Linked DNA regions of Caenorhabditis elegans. The protein of the gene in region 1 purifies or fractionates together with the protein of each later gene. This does not show direct contact. Each region holds a gene or a part of one and is shown in the gene's direction. Other genes may lie near its edges.

Region 1 (7,907 bases):
AGACTCCGCCTATTTCTTGGTTAAAACAAAAGTATTTGCAGACTTACCAAGGACTTACCCAAGATAAATATCTACAAGTATTAGGCAACCAGAAACTCAAAAAGGCGTTAAACGGGTTTTCAGACTAAGTTTGAATTTTGTACATGTTTTCAAGGTGGAAGAGTGCCCGAGAGAGGGCTGAGAACTTTGACCGAGGAGTAACCTAGCGCAGCTGCTCTACAGATCAGTGCAGAGAAATGCCCTCAAAATTCGGCCTGACGACCCATGGTAACGTCTGTTTGAGACAATTAAAAATATTTCTTGTTTTAGAAACAAATATACATTTTCTAATTAATGTTCAATTATTCTATACAATGTTCATGAAGAAAATATGAAAGTTCAATCGCCCTGCATGCTTATAGGATTTGATCTGCCAATCCCAACGAGAAACATTGAAAACAGAAACAATGAAGAGATCATGCAAATAAAAGTAGCCGTCACGTCCTGGAAACCAAATGATTTATAAGTGTGTAGTTCTCTGTTCTCCGCGTATTTTTCATCGTTTCATCTCACTCACTCTTTCTCTCTGCCTAAGCGAACGATTGGCATGAGAAAAGGAAACGAGACAAACTGATTGAAAAAAACATAGAGTGAGGGAAAGAGTGTGGATCTAGATGCCCCGCCAATATATTTTCAAATCTTTTTTTTTTCGATGACGATGATGATGATGGCATTCTTGATGGGGCGTGGAAGGATCAGGAAAGTGGTGAAGGTGGACAGAAAGGGCAACAGGTTATTGCGGGAGACAGAAAAGAGAAGCCGGATCCCGCCGTCTTTCTTTATTCTTTTCATAGTCCATGTGGTTTGATCGTAGAGAAAAAGTATTGAAGGTGGAGAGGGAGATATGGGGTGATATCTATGAAGAATGAGGATTACGTAGATTGCCAATAGAGAAAGTGCATTGCGTCCTCAAATTGTGATAACGTTGATACAAACAACTATGATTCAATATCTTTCCTTAGTGAATCTCGAAAAACGTGGTCTAGAAAATGGCAAAGTCCGGGCCAAACTTTTGCAAGACTTGGGCAAGGCTTTGTTTTGGTCGCACCCAGGTTTAAGCCAAGTTTGGAAGCTTCTCGGATTAAACCTAGTAACAAATTATAGGTTTTCTGTGAATGAAGATTCGAGTTTATGTATAATTTTATAAAATTTTTACAGAGTTCAAACACTGTTATTCTGTTCTTAAAACTCTCGCAAAATGCCCTGCAATTTTAAAAAACTTCTGAACTTTTCTAGAAGCTTCTGACGCATTTCAAGAGTTTTCAGATTTATCTAAAAGTTTTGGAATCTTCGAAATATTTTTTGAAACGCTTTGGTAATTTTGAAACATTCTGCAAATGTGTAGAATTTTCAGAAACATTTTAAACATTTTCTGATTTTTTCTTAACTTCTTAAATATACTGAAAGTTCCAATAAGTATATCAAAGCTCTTGAAAGTTTCCAGAATTTTCGATGAAAAGAAAGCTTGAAATTAATTTTTAAATTCTGTCATGTCACACCTTCTAAGTGTTCTGTTTTGCGATGTCTTCCAACTTCTTTCAAAAACAATTTCATCTTAAAATAAACTGTATTTATTAAGATTCACAGGGTGTTTTATGTACATTCTTGTCTCAATTATAGCTATAAGTGTCATCAACTCAATTACAAATTGGAATTCACATCAAATTTCACTGTATGATACAGGCATGCTGCGTAGGAATCTACAGGGGCACACAATTTCTCGATGGATCTTGTGAGCGTCTCTTTATAATTTGAATTGGACATTTTACTGGAGTCACCATAAACTTGGCACATCTTTTGACATTGTTCAGCTCTTCCAGACTTCATTGGGTTACGATCCATTACATGGATTACTGTAGTCATGATTCCCTGAAATTAACCAAAATAATCAGCTAAAATGGGAAACAAAACACAAGATTTTGAGCAACAATTTCACGTTCAATGCTATTTCACAGGACGAACATCCATTTTAACCTGTTTGAGGTACTGCCAGTACTCCTCGATTTTATCCTTCGTGTCAGATTCTTCTTTGTTAATATCGTCTTGAGTCGGAGTGCACATCTAAAAAATAAACAAGCTGTTATATTCTAATTTATATCATTATTTATACCTTAAAAGTATATCTATGAATATTATCAGTTGTGGAACACTCCTCCTTCCCCTCGTTGCTCAAAAATTTTTTAAGCTTGTTCAATTTGCTCTCATTTTCTTTTACGTTTTCCTTAACGTTTTCGCACAGAGAGCAGAATTTACTGAAAAGCCAATTCCTATTGTTAGTTTATATAAATTGCAAACCAACCATGTAGTTTTACCACCGAGCATCTCTCTCAATTGGGAGTTATAACTCTCTGGACACCATTGAGATGGACTAGTTACGTTTGCACAAATGCTCTCAACTCCACGAAGATTTTGAATCGCGTCTTCTGATTTGCAGGGAACGTTTTGGCCAAGTTGCATAAATGCTTCAATGTATCTAGAAGAAAGAATGTACCATTTTTTTTTTCTATTAGACTGTTATCGGCATTGCTTTACTTTGACGGTTTAGTTTATCGAAAAAAAATGTTTTCACTAATAAAGTAAAGAAAACTATGTTATAAGTGTGTTCAGTTCGCACTTTTCATGAAACCAAAAAACCCGGGAAACCCCCGTCGAAGAGGTGTAAAGAGGTGCAAGTTTAATAGGGAAAAATACGGAATCTATTACGATTTTAAGAGATTTGCAGGATTCAATTTTACGAATGAACTCCAGTCTTAAGTTTCAGCTCTAACTTACGGATTCTCGATAGGTCTCAGCATCTTAAAGCTGACTTTAACTCTATAGCATCCAGGGAAATCAATTTGGCGAGTTTCTCCATTAATATCAGTAATTGTTACTTCATCTTTTTCTTCATCTTCTTCCTCTGGATTATCATTCTTCAACATTTTCATTGTGATCTTCAACGAGCTCTCGTCAATAACATCGGAATCCACTAAACTTGGTTGTAAATTAATTGTAAAACCATTTAATTTTTATTTAAAAGAACAAACCATTCGGACAACTTTGTGTGACATTTTCTCTAACTTGAATGTGAACTTTTCGGCATGTTGCCAGTGCTAAAACAGTTAGGAGTAGTATGAGGAATCTGAATAACATCTTTGAATATTCTGAATTGTCTAACAATTTTCTTTTATAGCATTTTCAGTTGATCGTGATCATCTTGACCTAGTTATTCGAACAACTAGAATATAGCAAATCCGTTGTTGCCGGACTATTATTAGAAGAAGAGGAAGCGAACACTTTCCGAAAAAAGAGTGGAATTGTTTGCATTATGAACAACGTTTTTAAAACATTTAACCGGAATTTTTTAGATCCAAAGTTTTTTATTCAGATTAAACAATTTAATTGATCAATTCTGAACTATTATTTCAAGTTTGAAGCTTAGCGTTTTCTGGTTCATCAATTTGATTTTGCAGTTTAAGAAGCAGAGGAAGGGAATTCCCGAAAAAAATGCATTGTTTGTTTTATGAACAACGTTTCTATATAAGTCGCATTGATTGAAAGATTGCAATGTTCAAATTTCGGTTTTTTTTCTTGGACTGAAATCTACCGTACCACTTCCAAAATTTCGTGTTTCTCGAATTATATTTCAGACGCAAATAATTAATATTTCTCGTAGCACAGGTTATTCTTGGCTTTTCGACATAATTTTCTTTCAAATTTTCATTGACATGCTCTCAAATTTCAAAGATTTTCTTCTCTAGAAATGCTCTCACATCTAGTACATATTCTCTCTTCCAGCGAATTTTTCACAAATTTTAAGTGTAAATAATGTAATTGAATTCTGAACATGGTTCAAATGCTTTTTATTTTATAGACTATTTATTACTCATTTTTTATAACTGCTTTAGTGTGCTTTCTTTTTCGCTGAAGAATAAAAAACATTTCAAACTAAATATCTCAAGTAATCTCTATCCACTTTCCGTGTGGTGTCTCTCGAAAACGCAAGCGCGCTCTACGGCTAAAATCGATGCGCTCATTTCTCTGTTTGTGATTCATTTTTGTTCACTCTTTTATTCAATGAATCACCACTTTTATTTTGTCAATCTTTATTTCTTTTTAGTTATTTGATAGAAATATATTTTTAAAATGTTTATAAGCATAACTCTTTCTCGTTCAGAATGTCGGAGATCAGTGACGCCGAAAAGGTCCGCATTGCTTCGGATTTCATTAAACACGCGCCACCCGGCGAGTTCAACGAGGTAATTTTTTGTCGATTTTTAGGAGAATTGCTCGTTCAAGCTTGATATTATAGTCATCAAAAAATTTATATTTCGCAATTCACTTCAATTGTCAATTTACCTTTCCATTCAGGTATTCAATTCGGTTCGGATGCTTTTGGAAAATGATGATCTTCTGAAGAACAAATGTGTTAATGCTATCGCTCAATATAACGTTGGACAATTTGTGCCAGTAAAGTTGGATGGTGTTGCCAAGCAGGTATACTATTTTCATTTTTTAAACTTTCTTCAAATATTTAATTATTTTCTTCAGACTCTGATCACTCCATACAATGATTTGGGTAATGGACGTTTCTACGATGAAGTTTCAAAGAAAAGTTTCAAATACGATCACGTCCGTAAAGAGGCCGCAGATCTTCAACCACATCCAGCCGAGTCTGGAATAACCGAACAATGGCGTCAAGCTCTTCAAACTCAACTCGATATATATATTGATGATCATTACGCGAAAAGTGGAACGGGAGTGGTTTTTGCTCGAAACGGAGTTTTCACGATTTGCATCGAATCTCATCAATTCCAGCCAAAAAATTTCTGTAACGGAAGATGGCGTTCGGAGTGGAATGTGCCGGTTGGCGATGGTAAATCAGGATCTCAGGAGATGAAAGGAAAAATTTTGTCGCAAGTTCATTATTACGAAGACGGAAACGTGCAGTTGTTCTCTGAGAAAGAGCCGGTTCTTAAAGTCAATGTTTCGGTAAATTTTTTTTTCCATAAATTGATCCAATTTAGAAGGATAGAAAAAAAAGTTTTTCATAAAATTGTGAAGAACAAAATAAAATCACAGGAATCATTTAAATTATATTTTTCATAGAGCTATTTAATCGAATTAAAAATTGGCATATAAAGCCCTATTTTCAGGCTGACTTCGACAAAACCGCCAAAGAAATAATTCATGCCATTTCCGAGGAAGAGACTATATATCAGAATGCTGTACAAGAGAATTACGCTAATATGTCTGATACCACATTCAAAGCACTTCGTCGCCAATTGCCAGTTACTCGCGCTAAGATGGACTGGAATAAGGTATCGTAATTTCACAATATTTCGGAATGCCTTCGGAAAAGTGCACAGATTTATTCAGATGGGTCTCGGTGTTTCTTATTTTTCTGTTAACAAATGCTTCGAATCAGTTTTATATCCCTTGTCATGCAGACACAATAAAAAATAATTGTGATTTGAAAACTAATTTAAAAAGAATTTTAACAGAAACAAGAGATGAAGCCGACAAAATTCTCTAAATGCGAAGTAATTTCTTTGAAAAAGATTAAGCAAGGGCTACCATAATAAATCTGTGCGCCTCTACAAAGGCATGTCAAAATTTTCAGAATTGATAAAATAAAAAGAATAAATTAATTTTAATTCAGGCTCAAACCTACCGAATTGGTCAGGAAATGAAGTAATCACAAAATCGTTATCACATCGCTTTGCTTCAAGTTCGTCTGCTGGTCTTCATCATCTTCCTAATCCTCTCCAAAAACCAAAAAATCCTCCAATTTCGACCTTTATTTCTCCCACTTTCCTTTATCCTTTGGCCGGACACTAGACGTGCTTTACAACATAATACCCTTCGTTTGCTCCGCTGCTTCTTTTTTCATGATTTGATAATTTGTATCATCTATGTATCTAATTTTATTGTATGGTATGATTCATTTTTCAATTATATATTATTTGTGTGTGTGTGATTAAGAATTTTCGAGATATTTTCTGATTTTAGAAAGGTCGCGCACCTTTTGATATATATTTAAACGAATTAGCTAAATAGTTAATATGTGTTCGTTTAATTGAAGAAAATTCAGATGCAAAACCTCACTGAGGTTCTCAATGCGACTTTATTGAGCAACTTGTCAGATTTGGTATCATCGACAAGTACGGTATCAACCAGCACGACTACAACTACCACGACGGAAATTCCATTGACTAGTAAGCTTTCAGAAACATATTTCTAAGATTACACATTTTTTCAGCATCTTTTCCTCCAAGTGATCATACAACTGCAACGTCGATCGCCTTCATTTCCTTGGTAGTTTTTGGAGTAGCATGTGCTCTCATTGCGAAAATTGTGATAAGCCATAAGAAAAAGTGAGTATCCTTTCGATTTATAAAACATTTATTCTCAATTTTAGGAGAGCTGAATTAATCGGATCAGCACGATGGAGAATTTCTGCTTCAAGACAAAGCGCATCTTCGGCTTCTAGTGGCGGAATGGGCCAAAATTCTTCAGCCACTTATCTTCCCATGGGCCGTGGAGGGTATATAAGCAATTATTATTTTAATTATTTCACATTTTGAAACTTTAAGAAACAATCGCTCACTGAACAATCAAAGACAACCGCTGAACTCACTGGATCACCCGACAGCCGATCGTCTCGATTGGGAACGACAGTTCTTCGATGATTCCGAAGCTACAGTACGTTCTTTTAGATTTATAGTCTTCAATTGATATTATTGCGAAAATTATTAATTAAACGGAAACTTAAAAACTCAGATTAACGTCGAAATATAATTCTGAATGGATGTGTAAGTTCTAAAATGTCGTCATGTGATTTTTGTGGTTATTAATCCTTTCCGCAGTCTCTACAAATTAAAAAATTTCAGACTCCTTCAAGGCTCATCTTCCGCTGAATAAATCGTATTGTCGACTACATCAAACTCATCGCGCCATGTTAATTTATTATTTCCCATTTTGGTTCAAATTGAAATTCCTGGTTGTCATAATAATTCTCCATTCAGTCGCTTTAACTTCTTCTGTCGCTTTCCCGAATTCCCTCCCATCTTCGTGTAGTTTTCAGTTTTATCTCCCATAATGGGTCTAATGAAAAATACGTTCATATTAAAATAGCATTTTTCTGTTCTTTTTTCTCGATTTGGCATATGACCAAAACTGAAAAGTTATCCAAATCATCTGAATCGGACCAATAAACAGGGCGGTTAAGGTATAATGAATCTCGAAAATCTTCCACAAGAAATGCTGCATGAGGTAGTTAAGCATCTGTCGTTCATGGAACGGTAAGATTTTATTATAAAGACGCAGAAAAATTCAGCTTTTGAAATCGGCGTGGAAAGGTCGAGCTGAAAACGCAAGTTAAAAAATGCATGAATATCGGCGAAACTAATTGAAAAAGTTTTAATTCCCCGTTTTGCCGCCAAATACCTAACGAGACCCATGGTTCGTGGGCGTTGCATTTTGGAGCGCGTTTCCGCGTCGATTTCGAAAAGGATATTTTTCTGCGTCAAAATAATAATTGACTGTTCCAACAAAACCAAAATAGTTCAGACTACCACTGCAGAAATGCTCGAGAAAGATGAAATCTGCGACTGAATCAGCTGTACTTGTATTCAATGAAGAAATTACTTTAACATACACACCACATGAAGATTCTTCACTAATTGAAACTTATTTAATAGAATTCAATGGAATTGTTATTCGAATATATGAATCATCTGTTCCTGGTGAAGTCACTGTTAATTTCGAAAAATTGATGTCAAGAACAAAAATTGAAACAACTGAAAGATCTAACTGCCAAGACGTGGCACGGAAGATTTTCTGCGAAACTTTTCTGAAGGACAATGTCATCTGCAACTCTTTCAAGA
Region 2 (8,069 bases), 670 kb from region 1:
AGTAGTTGCTGCGGACTGAGGGCGTCGGACTGCTGTGGAGGAAACACCCATAACTGGTGTCTTTTTCACTGGCGAACTCATTGTGCGAGGTCTGAAAGTTTTCATGGTACTGTAATTTGTTTGAGTTTGGCAGATTGCAGTGACATAGCAATATCAAAATTGATTGTAGTCAGAAATCTTACACATTAGAACTAGATGCCGGCAAACTTCCAATACTCATTCGAGGGACCGGTGTTGTTACAGCTGGAGGTGGAGCTCTTGGAAGTCGACTCTTTTCAGTTGGAAATGTTGCTGAATTTGGAAGACGAGCTACAGGAGGAGGAGCTGGCTGTTGTCTATTAACTGCTGGTTTTGCACCTCGATTCGCCATTATTAGGGATCCTGTGTCGGGTGGAAGTTGAGGTAGCTGCAATAACATAAAATATGAAATGCGGAAATTCCATAACTTGTTTTGAGAGCTAAATTTTGCTAATCATGAGTGCAATCAACTATGTGAAGGTTGTCTTATTATGTTCAACTGATAAAAGAAAATGCAGATGGGAAATATCATGTAATAAGTAAAAAGTTACAACTTTTTTGCATTTGTCAAGAGCTAATTTAAAACAATTCTTTTGACATTTAGAGACATCGATAAACCAAATTTCTATGACCGTTTCAGGAAAATTGAAAATTTGAAACAAAACTCACTACATTCCCAGGCTTATCAATTGACATTTTTGCTCCAGTTAACGTCAGATTCCGTCGAAGCATCTGAAGATCGGCTTCTTGTCCACGAACTGTTTCTCGAAGGCTCAGATTTTCAGTTTTCACCATTTTCTGAGTTTTTGTGAGCGATTCCCGTTCTGCTCGTAAAAACGTGACTTCTTTTTTCAGCTCCTCAATAAGCTCGCGTTCACTTAACGCTGATGATGGACCAGCTGAAAGTTTTATTGAACTAAAAAAACTTATTTTGCAGTTAACTCACGTTTGGTAGGATCATTTTGATTTTGAAGCATAATTTGTTCGGCTTTCACTCTTAATTCGTGCATTTTTAAAAGCATTTGTTTGCGTTCTTGTATCAAATACAAAACGATTGATTCGTGACGTTTTTTCTCATTTCCAAGTGTCATTTCCATTTTATCCTTTGCGATTTCGGCTTTGCGTTTCTCCTCAATATGAAATTCAATTTGTTGTTGAAGTTGATTTCGTTCTTTTTCCAAGTGAGCGACCAAATCATCTCCTTGTTTCGCGTACCTAAAGATTTGTTCTAAATTTTAGGCGTATGAGTCGAGTTATAATGTTTATTAAGGTATTTTCTTATTTCGTAATATATAACTCACCTTATTTTAGCTTCTCTATCCGCCTCCAACTTTTTCACGAGTTTATATTGCTTCTTCTCCAGCGCAACCAACAGCTGAAAACTTTTTTGATTGGTGTAAATAGAGGGAGCTGCACAAAAATTTAATTACCACAGCCGCATTTCTTTGCGATTGCTTTTGCACTGCCATCATCTTATCCAACTGATCCACTTGTGACTCGTACATTTGAACAATCTTCTCTTCATCAATCTGTTCGCCAGTAATTGCCGAATCTCGTCGCAACGCAGCAAATGGATCGTTCATATTTAGTTTTCCATATTTAGCTTCGGATAGTAGAATTTTCGTTCTTTCACGTTTCAGATGATCAATGACATCTTCTCTTGCTTGAACTTCACCTTCCATGAACGAGAGCAATTTCATCAGTTCATCACTTGAGAAATCGTTAACCCCCTGCTCTTCGGGAAGATTGTCATATTCGGGCTGAACCTTTCGAATAGACGGAAGTACCAATTTCTGAACATTGTAGAAGTTTTTGGTTAATTACTGATAAATTATATATTTTCAAAACTTTGGGTGTGGCTCAATCACTCGGAAAATGAGCGTTAATTTGCAATCTTAGAATAATTTGAGACTGTGAATATTAAAAATTAGAGTATACAAACTTTGCTTACAATTTTATGTTCCTTGTGGAATTAAAACTCACTTTTGATGTTGATTGAAAAGTTGGATCAAAACTGTCATCGAGTAAATTTGGCATCGTGAAAGAAACACGGCAAACGCCGTGAAGCAGAAGTCTGGAAAAATTATTTTTGAAACGTTTTCGAAATTTCTGGAGAAAAAAACACGAAGTCGATGCAGAAGAAGAAAAAGCAGACGTTGAACGTGGATAAACTGAAGAACTAGAGACCGAGGGATATAGAGAAAGGGATTCAAGTGTGTAACTTCGTGTGCTTCTATTTCACAGTGATTGCTTGAAGAGGTGGAGACGCAGACGAAATGTTGTCATTCCCTATGCCTTGCGACCGGGCTCTCACATGTCGAGAGCAGGGCTCTACTGGCTCCGCTCCAAGTGATGACACTTGGTTCGTTTTGAACGATATCTATTGCAAGGAACTTTTATGTTAAGAGAGAAGATCCGTTCGAATAACGATATAGCAAAAAGTTCAAATGAACTTTGTAAAGGTGACCTACACAATCAGATGTTATCGAGAAAAATCTAAACATCTTGTTCAGCCATTTTAACTGGGTTGTTTTCACCATGAAAAAACACGGTGGTGATGCTGAGCTTAAGTACACTGTTTGTTGAAGATGACCAGCAACGAAAAAAGCAAACAAGGCGGAGGAGAATGTTTGCCAGAGTCTGGTAGTTTTTCTAGTAAGAATCCATAATTGCAAAAAAGGAAATCATATCCCAAATAGTTGAATATTGAAAGACGCAAATTTTATATCTCCAAAATTTAGGATTCCTAAACGAGTCAAACATTTTTTCTATTTAGCCTTCCAGATATTGAAAATAATAAACAGGAATTTTCCTCAAATCTGGATGAAGATCGATGGTTATTTTGAAAAATTAGTACGCAAAAAGAGATTTCGAGTCAGAGAAATGGATACAACTAATCTAAACCTGCAATCGATGATGTCTCTCTCATTAAAAATCAAAGTTAACCTATTTTAGTTCACTATCAAGCAACAAATCCTTTAATAAAAAGATTACTGTAATTACGCGAAATGATAAAAACTTATAAAAAGTGATAAAATAATTATTTAAACTGGCGGTAAACGAGAAAGCGATAAGAAAATGTCTGGTGACGTCACTCAGAGTCGCAAAAACTTTGCGCGTAATATACTGCGCGCGGTACGCAATAGAAGATACATGGTGTTTGCACACGTATACGGTAAGCGCTCAATTGAGAACGACTTTTTTGTTTTAATGTTTTATCAAGATTTTACTTTAATTAGACGAATCAATCATTATTTATTGTGCCACATTCGTAATTACTCCTTTCTTTTTAAGATTAAATCATCTTAAAATCAATATTGTAGTGTTCAAACTGGCATCAACTGCTCAATCAACGTTGGAGTCGCTGAAGGCGGCTCGACGGAGTTCGTCGGGAGTTTCAAATCAATCAATCTCGCTTTCATCGACAACTTTATCTCAAGCTATCAGTTCAATCGATAATGGAAAAAGTGCAGTTGTGGTTGAGATTGGAAGCAAGTTAACGAAGTTTGAGTTCCACTGTTCTTAAATTTCATAATTTTACTATGTTTAGAATTGGATGTGCCGGAGAAATAACACCTCGACATATTATCCGAACAGAATACGTCGATGATGAAGGAAAATTGATAACTTCTGATGAATTATTAGCTCTAAACAATCGGAAGACTGCTACAAAGTCCACCGAGTACTACGAAGAAATTCTCTATAAATTCTTGAGGATTGTATTTTTAAAGTGAGCCTCTCTGGCCTCGATTAACTTAAAGCTTGGATTTTAGAGTTTTGGCTCCCACTGACCGTCCAGTGATATTTGTGGAAAGCATTTTCATGTCAGAATCCCTCCGCAATACCATCACCAAAATTGTTGTCGAAAAGATTCGTTGCAAATCTCTAATGTTCATGCCATCTCATGTTTGTGCCACATTTCCATTCAATACTCAAAATGCTCTCGTTGTCGATATTGGACATTCAGAATGTATCGCAGTTCCAGTTAGTTCTTATTTTTAATTTTTGAAGAGCATAAGAAAATATTTCTAGAAAAAAATCAACAAAAGAGTAATTTTTTACCATCTACAATTTTAAACAGTTAAATTTTTTTTAGAAATTCAAATTTCTATTTATGATTTATTGCAAATTGTATTTTTTTCAGATTATCGAAGGTGTGACAATGCTGAATGAGTTCGAATCAGCTCGCTCGATTTGTGGCCGACAACTTGAACGAAGAGTTCGGGAGCAAATGGAGAAATATGGTCAAATTGCAGAATTAAATGGAGAGAGACGAGCAATTACAGAAAACGATTGGCAAGATATTGATGTAAATATCTAAAACTTGAAAAAACTCAATAACTGAAGATATGTTTTAGGCGTGTAAACTTATCGAAACGCTTAGTTTATCACTCATTTGTCTGGATAAGGAACGGGCCGAAAATTGGACAAAATGGGAAGCGTCAGAAGAAGGAGAAAAACCGGATATTGAGACACTTTGCAAAGAAAGACTATTTCCGAATAATGGAAAAATATTTGTAGTTCCTCCAGTTGTATTGTAAGTTTTAAAAGTTTTTTCTTACCAGAAGTTTAAAAATTGAATGTGTTGGCAAACGTTATCAAATATCATGGAAAACTGCAATTTTTTGTTTAAAAAATGTTTATTCACAGACAAAAAGCGACATAAATTATGTTCGTACCATTTTTTCGTGAAAACTAAAGCAATGTCGCAATTTAGAGCCTCCCTCCTGACTGTTTTAATATAAATATTTTAGAACAAAAATTGGAAAAATTACTTTTGATCGACGACATCCAAAAAAGCTACGCTTCGCTTGCTTCGCTTTTTGCGTTGCTTCGCTTTTTGACTGAATAAACAAAATCCAACATTTTTTGAAAAGTTTTCCTATTATATTTCGTCATATTAGCAACAGAGAAGTTTCTAAAATTACTTATTTCTCGTAGTTAAAAAGTAAATTTTTTTAAAAACTCCTTCTATGATATCATGAAATCTGCCACCTACAGTAATCCAAACAATTTTTATTATGCTCCCTATATTATTCAAAAAAAAAAACAGAAAAAATTAAATTCTGAACTTCGATTGTAAGAGAAGCCGCGTATTACCTTTAGTACTTATTATTTCAGCGAAACAAGTACTGAAATCTTCTTCAATGAGAATCTCAATCCTACATCATTCGATCTTTCCCTTCCGAAACTTCTTCACAAGCTGGTATCAAAATGCCCGATTGATCTCCGGAAAAAGCTATTCCCAAATATACTTTTAACTGGTGGAGTCTCTACAATTCCTGGTCTCATGAAACGTTTGGAACAAGAAATTCAAGTTATCGACGAGAAAAACAATTCCAAAATTGCCGTAATTGTAAAATTCTATCAATTTTCGGAAATCAAAAACACGCCACTTTTCGTTTCCTGGCTCGGTGCAAGTCTATTGGGATCACTTCGAGAGACAATTGAACGCAAAAGTTTAACCTTGGAAGAGTGGAAAAATGGAAAATTAGCTGCTGATTGGACTGATATCATTGTAAAATCCCGTTAGAAATTTGTTTTTTTAAATGTAACTGGTGCTTTATAATTTTATTATTTATTCGCATAAATGTATGAAAAACTTAGAAAAAAAGGGCCAAAACTGTACATTAAGGGGAAGTTGGATAAAAGTTAGGAAAAATGTGTAAACTTTATTGCTGCCGTTTGCTTAAAAAATCTAATGGTGGAAGAGACGAAGTCCAGTATGAATAAGAGTTATTCCATGTTCATCACAAGCTTCTTTGATGTCATCATCACGAACTGAGCCTCCTGGATGAGCAACATAAGACACTCCGAACTGCAAAAATTATACACAATCAGTATCCCTACAACTCTTGAAAACAGGAAAGTTTTTGAATTTTTTTTTTCTTGGCGTCACACTTGTATTATTCAATTTAACAAAGCTCACTTGAACATTCAGTGTGTCTAATTTAGTTTGTTACTTCTAATCTAATTAGGAACTGTATACACTGTGGTTCAGAAATCACAAACTGAATACTACTAGAAAATTTTAAAATTATTTATTTATTTATTTAGCCGCTTTCGAACCAATTACTATGCCCAAATGTAAAAATCACGAAATACAAAATAAAAAATTGGTCTCGTGAGGTATTCGGCTACAAATCCGTCATTTCAAACGCTTCAAATTATTTTCACCGATTTCGCCAATTTTCAAGCATTTTCGACTTGGACGAAAAAATCATTAAAAACAGCGGAAAATAGAAAAAAAAACTCTAAAAATGCTAGGAAATTGGCGAAATCGGCAAAACTAGTTGAAAACGCTTGAAGTTACGGCTTAAATCATCTAACGAGACCCATGTATTGGGGGCGGATCACTTTAAAATAGCCATGGAGCGCGTTTCCACTCTAATATCAATTAAAAAAAATTTTTCGCTTTAACGCTGTAGTATTTCAACATATTAGAATACTTCGAGCATTGACCAACAATGAAAAACGTTTTTACCTGTTTAGCACAATCAACATTATCACGGAATGGAAGGAATGCATCTGAACTCATCACAACTCCTGTTTGCTGGCTCAGCCATTGTTTGCGATCATCCTGAAAATTATTCATCAAAGTTCCCCACAAATCTTCAAACCGAAAAAAAAAGAAACTCAAAAAAAATCTTATTTTCTACCAAAAAAACTAATCCTTTTCGTCTCATTTCCCTACGTCATCATCTGTCAGATTATACACTTTTGGGTCCATACACGAGGCTTAAAATGCCCAACGGGCACACACGTACCTCAGCAAGTGGCTCCACTGGCTCATTGAAATATTGCTGCCATTGGTCGATGGCAATCTGCAAAAATGAGTAAATTTTTTGTTTATTTTGAAGACTTGAAATCTTTAAAAATAGCCAAACGATTAAAGATTACAAATTTGTCACAAGAGAAAAGTACGACAAAGGTCTATTGAACTTAAAATTACAAACCTCTGAACCAAGAACTCCACTGCATAAAACATCAATAGCATTTGATTTCTCTGATCGTTTAATTGCATTCTTCCATGGAAGTGAGAGTACTGTTGGATGTTGTCGTAGCCACCTGAATTGAATAAAAACATGTGCTTGATAATCATAACGTTTTTTGATTTCTTCTAGAAATGACGAATCGATCGGTCAATGTTACACGGTTATCAGTATTATAGATATGTCCGGAAGAGAGAGACAGTGTAGGTGGAGTCATTTTAAACATTGCAATCGAGACACCTTTTTTTGTTGAAATGTATACTTTGAATTTTGTATAAAAGCTACAGTTTTAATATTTAAATTTCCTTTTTTTATGTTCTTTGTTAGTTCTGCACCCAATTACTCCTAGGTTCATGTTGAAGATAGCAATTAAAGTTTTTCCCCAAAACTATAGAAAAAATAATAGAAGATTATTCTTTTTGTTGTCAATTGTTTTCATAAACCCAAAGACAACCGAGATATAGGCAACAAAAGTTAGGAAGTATGTTCTTTTTTCTCAGAAGGTCTCGTCTGGTGCTGATTCTAGGTTACAGTTATCCTGTGGCATAAAAATATTCATGATCGTTTTTTTTTAAATTTAAATTGTTTCATTGAACATTTTTTGAACATTGTTAGTCAGAAAAAGAAACCTAAAACTTGTTTAGGAAAATCAAATTCGAGAGTCTCTCAATGCAACTTTCATTCTTTTTTTGGGATTTTCTGAGCGTGACGTAACAAATGACGTAAGTTCGGTTGGATATGATTGAGATGAATATATATTCTGTCAGTTAAAAATAGAAGATTTTGAAATTTTTGTCAAATTGAGAACTGAGGATTGTTGGAAGACTGAGCACATATGCCAGCCAGCCAGAGTTTTAGAACTGCGAATAGAAAACTTTGATTTTTATACTTTGATATGTTGAAGTACCATACTTTTTGATAAGTTTAACAGAATCAATCTGACAAATCTGGTTACAACTTCTAAGAATTGAAAGTTCTTATTTCTAAATATTCGTTCGTAATTTTCATACTCAAAAGTCAATTTCCTTGTTTATGTAATTATGTGAGTTTGCATTAATC

What was found. Proteins that work in one complex are often made in the same cells at the same time.
Region 2: the proteins of cap-1 (region 1) and arp-11 fractionate together in Caenorhabditis elegans (co-fractionation; one large-scale study listed by BioGRID). This does not show direct contact.

Annotation. Positions count from the first base shown.
Region 1 is NC_003282.8:7,226,512-7,234,418, reverse strand, and holds cap-1 (F-actin-capping protein subunit alpha), read left to right. Parts: upstream 1-4,195; 5' UTR 4,196-4,196; coding exon 4,197-4,277; intron 4,278-4,389; coding exon 4,390-4,515; intron 4,516-4,569; coding exon 4,570-5,010; intron 5,011-5,174; coding exon 5,175-5,339; intron 5,340-5,680; coding exon 5,681-5,716; 3' UTR 5,717-5,997; downstream 5,998-7,907. Other genes in the region: D2024.4 (DUF19 domain-containing protein), read right to left, coding at 1,681-1,908, 2,014-2,100, 2,150-2,291, 2,339-2,512, 2,812-3,007, 3,066-3,171; D2024.5 (Mid2 domain-containing protein), read left to right, coding at 6,113-6,236, 6,281-6,395, 6,440-6,565, 6,615-6,723, 6,912-6,938; R13A1.10 (F-box domain-containing protein), read left to right, coding at 7,255-7,322, 7,591-7,907. UniProt on the Caenorhabditis elegans protein: F-actin-capping proteins bind in a Ca(2+)-independent manner to the fast growing ends of actin filaments (barbed end) thereby blocking the exchange of subunits at these ends.
Region 2 is NC_003282.8:7,897,763-7,905,831, reverse strand, and holds arp-11 (Actin-related protein 10), read left to right. Parts: upstream 1-3,560; coding exon 3,561-3,748; intron 3,749-3,791; coding exon 3,792-4,002; intron 4,003-4,162; coding exon 4,163-4,327; intron 4,328-4,376; coding exon 4,377-4,555; intron 4,556-5,139; coding exon 5,140-5,551; 3' UTR 5,552-5,629; downstream 5,630-8,069. Other genes in the region: cbpl-1 (Cortactin-binding protein-2 N-terminal domain-containing protein), read right to left, coding at 1-91, 183-406, 688-917, 965-1,233, 1,320-1,393, 1,449-1,811, 2,002-2,055; atic-1 (Bifunctional purine biosynthesis protein ATIC), read right to left, coding at 5,717-5,836, 6,503-6,598, 6,786-6,842, 6,975-7,086.